Saccharomyces cerevisiae S288C: one gene and its partner. The protein of the gene in region 2 purifies or fractionates together with the protein of the main gene of each other region. This does not show direct contact. Each region holds a gene or a part of one and is shown on either strand. Other genes may lie near its edges.

Evidence for each region.
Region 1: the proteins of CDC31 (region 2) and YGL140C purify together in Saccharomyces cerevisiae (affinity purification with mass spectrometry, with the first as the bait; one large-scale study listed by BioGRID). This does not show direct contact.

Annotation. Positions count from the first base shown.
Region 1 is NC_001139.9:240,558-246,889, forward strand, and holds YGL140C (uncharacterized protein), read right to left. Parts: upstream 4,456-6,332; coding exon 796-4,455; downstream 1-795. Other genes in the region: ubiquitin-ubiquitin ligase HUL5, read left to right, coding at 1-528; FLC3 (putative flavin adenine dinucleotide transporter), read left to right, coding at 5,159-6,332.
Region 2 is NC_001147.6:809,347-812,315, reverse strand, and holds CDC31 (centrin), read right to left. Parts: upstream 1,309-2,969; coding exon 823-1,308; downstream 1-822. Other genes in the region: HNT3 (DNA 5'-adenosine monophosphate hydrolase), read right to left, coding at 1-645; TRE2 (putative zinc metalloprotease), read left to right, coding at 1,633-2,969. UniProt on the Saccharomyces cerevisiae protein: Functions as a component of the spindle pole body (SPB) half-bridge. At the SPB, it is recruited by KAR1 and MPS3 to the SPB half-bridge and involved in the initial steps of SPB duplication.

The DNA of each region.
Region 1 (6,332 bases), on a different chromosome or scaffold from region 2:
AAAACGTACGTGACGAAGGATAATGTGTTGCTCTACGTTACTAAAGTAACGGATTACAAATTAAACAAAAGATGCTTCAAACCAGTTTCGGCATTCCATGGAGGGCTCAGTGTTATCATTGCCCCACATTGGATGGAGATGTTTAACTCTATAGAACTACAAATGTTAATATCAGGTGAGAGAGATAATATCGATTTAGACGATCTGAAATCTAACACAGAATACGGGGGTTATAAAGAAGAAGATCAGACAATTGTTGATTTTTGGGAGGTTTTGAATGAGTTTAAGTTTGAAGAGAAATTGAATTTTTTGAAATTTGTCACGTCCGTTCCGCAAGCTCCTCTGCAAGGCTTCAAGGCATTAGATCCAAAATTTGGTATCAGAAATGCAGGGACAGAGAAATACAGGCTGCCTACGGCATCTACCTGTGTTAATTTATTAAAATTGCCAGATTATAGAAACAAAACAATTTTGAGAGAGAAATTATTATATGCAATAAACTCAGGCGCCAGGTTTGACTTATCATAATTCCCAGAAGATTAGGGAGGTAATTAATTAATAGGCAGATTTCTAGTTCTTATATATTACTATAGATAAGGAAATTATACGCTTGTATGCAGAGATAATTTAAGTTTTGCTTTGTTCGCCACCATTCTAGTTATGACCTTTATCTATCATTCTATTTTTTATTGGAAAGGCTTTACAAAAAACAAACAGTAAAAATTCTTTAAGCGAAGTGAAATCGACAATGAATATGAAATTGGTAATTATCTTACATTAGGACTTTTCAATATCTTAGTCCTTCTTTTCTTTCATGTGACTTAGCACCATTTTCAAAGCTAATGGCAAATCATCATCAGAGCTTTCATCATCATCGTTCAGATAATTAGGATCCGCATTACCAAGGGTGCTGTGTCTGCTTAAGCTTGAAAGTTGGCCGGAGGTAGAAGTAATGGAAAATGCTCTATTTCTAAATGTCTTTGGTAAGCCATCCGCGTTTTGGCCTGCTTTATGAGAAGCAATCCGTAATAAATTCAACGCTGCCGGATTATCATTTTTTTCGTATGCCACTGGACATTCCGGCTCATAACTTCTTGTGGAATCAGGAGAAATTTGAGATTCATTAGAATTTGTACTTTGTAAACTTTCATTTCCTTCGGAAATGATGGAAGTACCATCAAATGGGGTCCGATTGCGCCGTGTATTCATAGGATTGCTTTTCCCGTTAATGAAATTATCAAATCCTGTTACTGCCTCTGCAGCCCAGTCCTCGTAAAGTGGACGCGATAAAAACCCGTATTTAAACTCATTTACACCGACCAGAATTTTAGTTAAATTCAACAGCTCTTCAATATACTCAATTATTTCTTCCGATGCAGCACTAGATGCGTTCCAACTTAAAAATTTTTCTTTTAAAACATATTCATGAGGATTAGCTGTTGTGTTGGCCTGTCCCCTTCTATTCATTTTCATTACCAAACCTTCGTTATCATCGTCATCTTCATCCTTGCCGTCAGCGTAATCTCCTTCATTTGGCTTTCTTGCTTTATCACTTAAATTTGAAATCTGCCCAGGATATCTTATTCGCAGAGTTTGGCGCACTTTATTAATCAGCCTTCTATGTGCAATTCTTGCGCTGGGCAAAAATTGCGGTAACGGGGTCTTATTTATAAATGCCTCTTGAAGTGCTCTCATTAGGCAAGAAATACTTCCAACCATTTGGCGTCGATATGGATATACAACACTGTTAAATTCTTCAATAACCGCACTTCCATTTTGCTTTCTCAGCAAGGAAATTGTATCTATCCTCTCTATTATTTGCTTCTGAATAAATATAACTTGAGTGAAAACATTTTCCAACTCGGTATATTCACCCTTTAATCTCGGCTCTTGTCTGGTTAGTCCTTTATAGGCCGTAGCACGGGCTAACGCCTCTTTAGCACTTTTTGATATCTTTTCGATTTTTTTGTATTTCTCTTCACTCATACTACTTGCGACTTGCTCTCCTTCCAGTCCGGTGGCGTAGAGAAGTTCCATTTCCGATATACAGCCACAGACAAAAGAAATCTCTTCATTTAATTGTTCCCGTGCCTTCAATGGAAAGAAAAAGACTTGAACTATTAATGCTACCCCTCCACCATAGCCGACAGCTAAACATCTCTTGGCGAAACTAGTCAATATATCATCTTGGGAGGGAAGTATTGCTGCAAGCATAACAATATAAATACTAATAATTTCAATAATTGCAGCCTTCACATAGGGTGTGCCTAATAAATAGTAAAACCCAGGAATGGCTCCAAAAACTGTGATGACTGTCTCCAAATATGGATTGGTTTGGTTGACAGCAGCAACATAGGAAAGATAACCCCAGGCTGCTCCAAAAATAACCCCCACAGCACGCAAAAAGAAGACCCAGAACGTACCTCCTACGGAAGGTTCCAAACAAAGTATGCACACGAAACCAATCCAGGTACCACGATAGTCTATGTACCACTGCCTTGTCTTTGGAATAAACATCGGAAATGAAGCCAGCATTAATGCAATGGCTACCTGAAATCCAAATCTAAAGTGAGGATGTGACACTTCACAAAACTTATCAATTGAAATAAGCATGGACATAAAAGAAAATCTGCCTTGCCTCCTGGAAGTTCTATTAGTTCCGAACGTAGTTGTTTTCGTTAACGTTAATGGCGACGAAGAAGTGTCAGAGGTAGAAGATGAATTTCCTTTGGGTTCACTTGTCATTGGCAGATCTAGCGATGCATCATCTTTTACAATGTTCTTATTCGATGAAACTTTTTGAGATAAAAGTTCATTCTCTTCATAATCAGGCCTTCTAATAACTGTGTCATGAGCAAAACCATTAGTATTACCATTGAACGTACCCTTTAATGTATCATTTTCAGTCACTGAGTTCCTATCGCCTTTTAACCAGATAGAAAATGTCTCGTAGTTGGTCAACACTAAAAACCAAAGTCTTTTGCCTCTCAGCCAGCCCTTCTTCTCTTGTATTTGACGTTTGACTAAAATGTCCTTGACGGACTCCATAATTACCAAAGTTGAATCTGCAGTTTGCCTAAAATTTAGTAGAAAGCTAGACAACAAAAACATTTCATCACTAGGACTCATAATATCAATATCAAAACTTAACATTTCTGACTTGAATTTTGCTTTACATTCTTCTAACGCCTGCTTCAGGTCATTGATCTTGTTCTGGATGTCAACATCATTGGGCAGATTATTGGCGTTATTACTGAATGTTGGGAAGTTACCATCTTTGAACATTGAGCAGGAATGAACCCTTGAAACTTTCACATCAAATGCATGAGCAAGTACCAACTTTGCTATGTACATGCATTCACTCATTGTCCGGTGTAGACTATAAATCACTGGATGCAACTTGTCAATAACTTTCAACAACTTCTCAGCATTTGCAAAGCTGATTTCTTTGTTCTTTGGCAGTGTCAAAGCTGCGACATCATCAGGCCTGAGCTTGTTATCATGTCTTGCCAATAAAATAAATTCTAATTGGCATGTATTAACTAATCCATTAATGAAGACTGTCAAATTTTCCAAAGTAGATATGATTGGCTTTAGTTTAGTTGGCGAAACATAAGCGTAAGTAAACTCATAAATGCACTCGTGAAGTACTACTCGACAGTTGTTAACTTTAGAAGAAATCAGTGACTTCATCTTCAATAGCTTGCCTAACGAAACAGGATCTCTACTGTACAACTGGCTACTATTGTGCGGGTCAACTGCAATGAAGAAATTTATCGAATAGTCAATGGACTTATGGAGCTCATTCATAGCATCAATAGTCGTATTACCCAAATATGTGGTACCCCACTCAGGAAACAACACAAGATTCCAGAAAATCGACATTGCAATACCCAGGTAGAAAGGCGTACTATAAGCTTTAGCAATAGTGCCTGCTGTTTCATTCAAAGGATCCATAAATGCGAAATGAACCACGACAAAAAGTGGGAAAACAATACCAAAGTAATAGTGTGATACAGATCTCATCCAACCATGAAAAAAAAGCATAATTACTTCGAAAACAGCCAAAATTGCTAATCCCGCTTCATATCTTTTATAGTGCAATACGTGCTGCTGTGCCTCTGTTAGCTCATGCCAAGAACTCCCTAAACATCGCTGCGCAAGGAACCGGCCGAAGATTGCGTAAGCTAGGCCAAATATCAATCCAGTTATGCAATAGATAGCACCATGGATAGTACCCCCGACCCTTCTTCCAGGGTGAACAATAACAGAAATCATTGGCAGCATCGCAGGAGCTGCTCCCAAATGCGCAGTTATCTTAGGTATCAAGCAAAATATGAAAGCTACCGTAGTATTAACAGTCGATTTACATATTCTCTTCGCGAGGATTCTGTCACAGGGGAAATAATACAGCCATAACTTCTGAATCTTAGTCAACTTTGATTTAAGCGACATGGACAAATAATGAAGTCAAGCAATTGATGCAAAGGATAAGGAAGATTTTCTCGCTTGAAAATATGTTCTCTTCGAACTCCAGGATAGGATAGGAATAAAGTAAAAATAGTGTATGATACGTAGTTAGGCCACAACCACAATTATAACCTCTCGATAGCAGGTGTTAATAGAGATGAAGGTAGATCCTGGATTTCTCTTTTCTTTCTTTAGACATCAAACTGGTAGTTCTTATCAGTCTCAGCCTTTTGAAGACCTATCAATTTTATGAGGAGGGTAATGGTTGCTTCCTTTTCCCTAGCAGCGGCCCATCGCTTTAGCTTCAAATAGTTGATTCCTTTAACTGTTGACTATGAAAAGGTAGTCTTCGTTGGGATTGGGGATAAAAGAATATCTGAATACTGTTGCTGTCCGTGCCATTTACTAGCTTACGGACGCTATCAAATTAACTCAAAAACGCTTCTGTTCATCCGCTTTCCAGAAGATCAACGCTCAAAAGACAACAAAACAATTCGAAGACGTCATTCGTTATAGAGTGCCAATCAACATTGGTGGGTACTAGAAAACTTCTTTGCAAAGTATAGCTAAGAAAGGTCTTTTTATTTACGAGCGGGCCATAAATAAAAAAATTTCAACAACAACAACAACAACAACAACAACAACAACAACAAATAGTGGAGACTAGAAAAGTATACCCCTCACAGGCATGAGATTTCTTCAGGTTTATAAATCATCGGCATTAATTGGACTAATAATATTGTTAGCCAGTAAAGTAAATCTTGCAGAGGCAAAAAGGAAGCTGGTAGCCACATCATTGGTCACATGTATGGAAAACTCGCAGCTGTCAGCAAATAGTTTTGACGTTGTTTTCAATCCAGACGACAGGTCATTACATTATGATCTTGATATGTCAACTCAAATTGATTCATATATTTTTGCTGATATTGATGTCTACGCATATGGTTTCAAGATCATTACTAAAAATGTCGATCTTTGTTCAATCAACTGGAAACAGTTTTGCCCGGTTCACCCAGGTAATATTCAGATCGACTCTATTGAATACATCTCCAGTGAGTACGTAAATGAAATTCCTGGTATTGCATACCAAGTCCCCGATATCGACGCATATGCCAGGGTCAAGATCACCAACAATGTGAGCGAGTACCTAGCATGTATCCAAATATACTTCTCAAACGGTAAAACAGTTTCTCAGATTGGTGTAAAATGGGCAACTGCAGTGGTAGCGGGAATTGGTCTTTTACTATCTGCCATCTTATCCACTTTTGGGAACTCTACCGCAGCCTCACATATTTCTGCCAACACAATGTCACTTTTCTTATACTTCCAATCTGTTGTCGTGGTTGCCATGCAACATGTTCATCGAGTTCCGCCTATTGCAGCCGCCTGGGCGGAAAACTTGGTTTGGTCAATGGGGTTAATTAGAATCTCATTCATGCAAAGGATTTTCCGGTGGTATGTGCAATCCACTGGTGGTACGCCTAGCTTATATCTGACTTCAACATCTATGTCTGTTTTGGCTCAAAGAAGTTGGCAATATTTGATGGAGCTCCCATTAATCAAAAGAGCTACCAATGTTTTGTATGGTAATGCAAATACATTAATTTTTAGAGGAATCAAAAGGCTAGGCTATAAAATGGGAATCGAAAATACGTCCATCGTTTGTACCGGTTTTACTTTCTTCGTCTTATGTGGATATGTGTTGGCTGGATTTATCATAGTATTCAAATGCTGTGTGGAGTTAGCCACCCGGTTAGGATGGATCCAAAAGGCAAGGTTTTGGGAATTCAGGAAACAATGGAGAATGATCTTAAAAGGTGCTCTTTTAAGATATATTTACATCGGTTTCGTTCAGTTAACAA
Region 2 (2,969 bases):
CTCGAAATGGCTATTGAACTCTAGTTCTAAATGCTTTTTCAATAAGCTAAATTTATTACTAAAATTTCGCTGACAATAGCAGCAAAGTAAATCGTGTTCTTTCAGGTACGTAGTTTCAATTTCCTTGTCAGTGCCCAAATTTTTTCCGTTCAATGGTAAATCGTCCCAACTAATGAAGAATCCAGTATTAAATGAATTATAATGTTTTTTGTTCTTCAATCTTACCGAATGGAAATCTTTGGATATGACGTGTATATGTAAGTTGGCCATCGAAGGCACGCTGTGTATCCCAACTTGTACAAAATTTCTTACAAACTTGTTTTTGTCTTTTAATATGTCATCCCAGCAGGGGTCTTTGTCATCATCACTCTTCTTTATTCGGAACTTTTCTTGAAAATGCCTAAAGATGTGGTCAATCGCAGAATTAACGTATGATTCAAACTCATTCTTAAACTTAGCATCAATCACTTTAGTAGGATGACTTCTACTCAGCTGCATAGTTCGTGGTAGAATCAATAAATGGCACTCTGATTTAGGAAACGAGTCTCTAATTATGGACACTTTATCATCAAAGTATGTGACTGTATCATCGTTTACCGTTTCTGGGCTGGTAACGTAGTTTTTTAACGCATACCTCCATGACATTTTTCAGTGTTTTGTTTTATTGTCTTCTCTTATTGTTGCCCTGCAGGATTAGATTGGCTTTTTCACTTTTAAGTGCATCCTTGGGCAAGATGTAAGTTAAAACAGAAAACGAGAGACCCACGGGAGTATACTAATATAGTTACAAATCATTTTTATAGATTAAATATATAGTCATAATTAACTATCGGTGCAAATAGCTATAAATTCGTTTTCATTAATCTCGCCATCACCATCCAAATCAAACTCTTCAATCATCGCTCTCAGCTCTTCATCCGTCAAAGTTTCTCCTAATTCTTTAGCTACACGCCTCAAGTTTTTAATACTTATTTTCCCAGTATGGTCGTCATCAAATAATTGGAATGCCCTTTTTATTTCATCTAACGGATCTCTCTTCAATATTTTTTCCCCCATTACAATATAAAAATCATCATACTTCATCAAATGCCGCCCCTCACTATCATATTCATCTATTAAGTCAAGTATTTCTCTCTTGGGTAGCTCAAATCCCAGGGCCTTCATTGCTACTTTCAACTCGTGGTAATCGAGGAACCCATCATTGTTCATATCGAACAATGAAAACGCCTCATATATTTCTTGCTTTTGCTCCTCCAATAACTCGCTATTAAGTGGACCAGACTGTAGCGATGACCTGTTCTTACTCATACTGTATGATTTATTTCCGTTTCTTCTTTGGTTCACTTCCTTTCTCGTTTAATAAATCTCTTCCATACTTACTAATTAGGATTCTTCTTTTTTTCTCTCTATTTCGCAATAGTTAAGCCTCCAAAACTCTTGGAAATTTAGTAGATAAAATTACGGCATCAGGCAAGAACTAGTTAAGCAAGTACTTCCTGCATCATTAAAGTTGTTCTTTTCCTAAACGCCTCTCAATACTAGAGAAATACATCAAGCTTTGGGTTATTTGAAATCTGTAACTAATTTGCAAACCAAGATAATACCCCCGGGTATTGAGATCAAGTAATTTTAATGAGGAGCAGTTATCAACCAGTGTCAACTACAAACTTTGAACATGAAAATGCTATACCTACTGCGTCGTCGTCCCATAATCTGTTGATGAGCCAGCGTTTTGATGATTCTCCTCCTAGTTCTAACGACAACAGTATAGAAACTAATATAACGCCTCCACCTGAACCACCTTCTTATGAATTTGATATAGAGGACCCTCACGATGATCTTCACAAAAGAACACATCTACAGAGGGTTTCAATTGGGTTTCAGGAAAAAATTTTGGAACCCTTAATGGAAAACATCATTCATCCACTCTTACAAATATCAAAATTCGTTCCAGACAAAGCTGACTATTACTTAAGTAAAATCGGAAATCCCTTTATACTTCGAAGGTTCTTTTACATCATTTTCATGTCATTTATTGCATATTATGTCTTGTCAAGTGGCTACTTATTCAACGAAAAGGCATCAGGATCTAAAGGGATGTTTTCTCAACACGATATACTTTTTGAATATGCCAAAAAATCCGTGGATTTGGCAAAGTTTGAGAGAGATTTGGAATATATTAGTAGCATGCCTCATGGATCCGGAACGAAGGGTGATGCAGCTATTTATCGATACATTCAGGAATCTTTTGACAACAATGGGTTGAAATTGGTTAAAGAAATGGGATACTCAGTTTATTCTAATTATCCAGGCAATGTATCAATTTCATATTATGATAACAAGAATGAAAAGCATGATCTAGAACTTTCTAAAGAAAATTTCAATCCGTTGAGTTCTAACGGGAAATTATCCAAAGTGAGCTTGATTTATGGAGGCAAAGGTACAACATACGATTTACAACATTTAAAAGATTCGAAAACGATAGAAGATGGGAAGGACTATGTGCTTTTACTGCAATATGATAAATTAGTGAGTCAGCAAGTACTAATTGCTGAGAAATTCGGAGCTAAAGCTGTAATCTTCATATCTGAGCCATATGGTGAGAATATAGACGTTGTTCAATCTAAGCCTGTAGGATTGCCCCAATATTCGACTGGTGATGCATCAGGATTGAATTGGGATGGTTCTCCTGTAGAAGAAAAGGATCATAAATTTTGGCGTCAAACTCATATTCCAACTATCCCAATCTCCACGAGACAAGGAAAAGAGCTACTATCGCGTTTATCTTCAGGAGGAGTAACGGTTGATGATGGTAATAGTGATCGTAGTAACAGTGGGAAAATGGGAGACGTATTGATCGATGTAGATCTGCAAACTAATGTTAGGGAAAAGCATTTTATTCCTAATATTGTTGGTAAAATTGAAGGGAGAGAACAATCAGACAAAGCTATAATAATTGCTGCATCGAG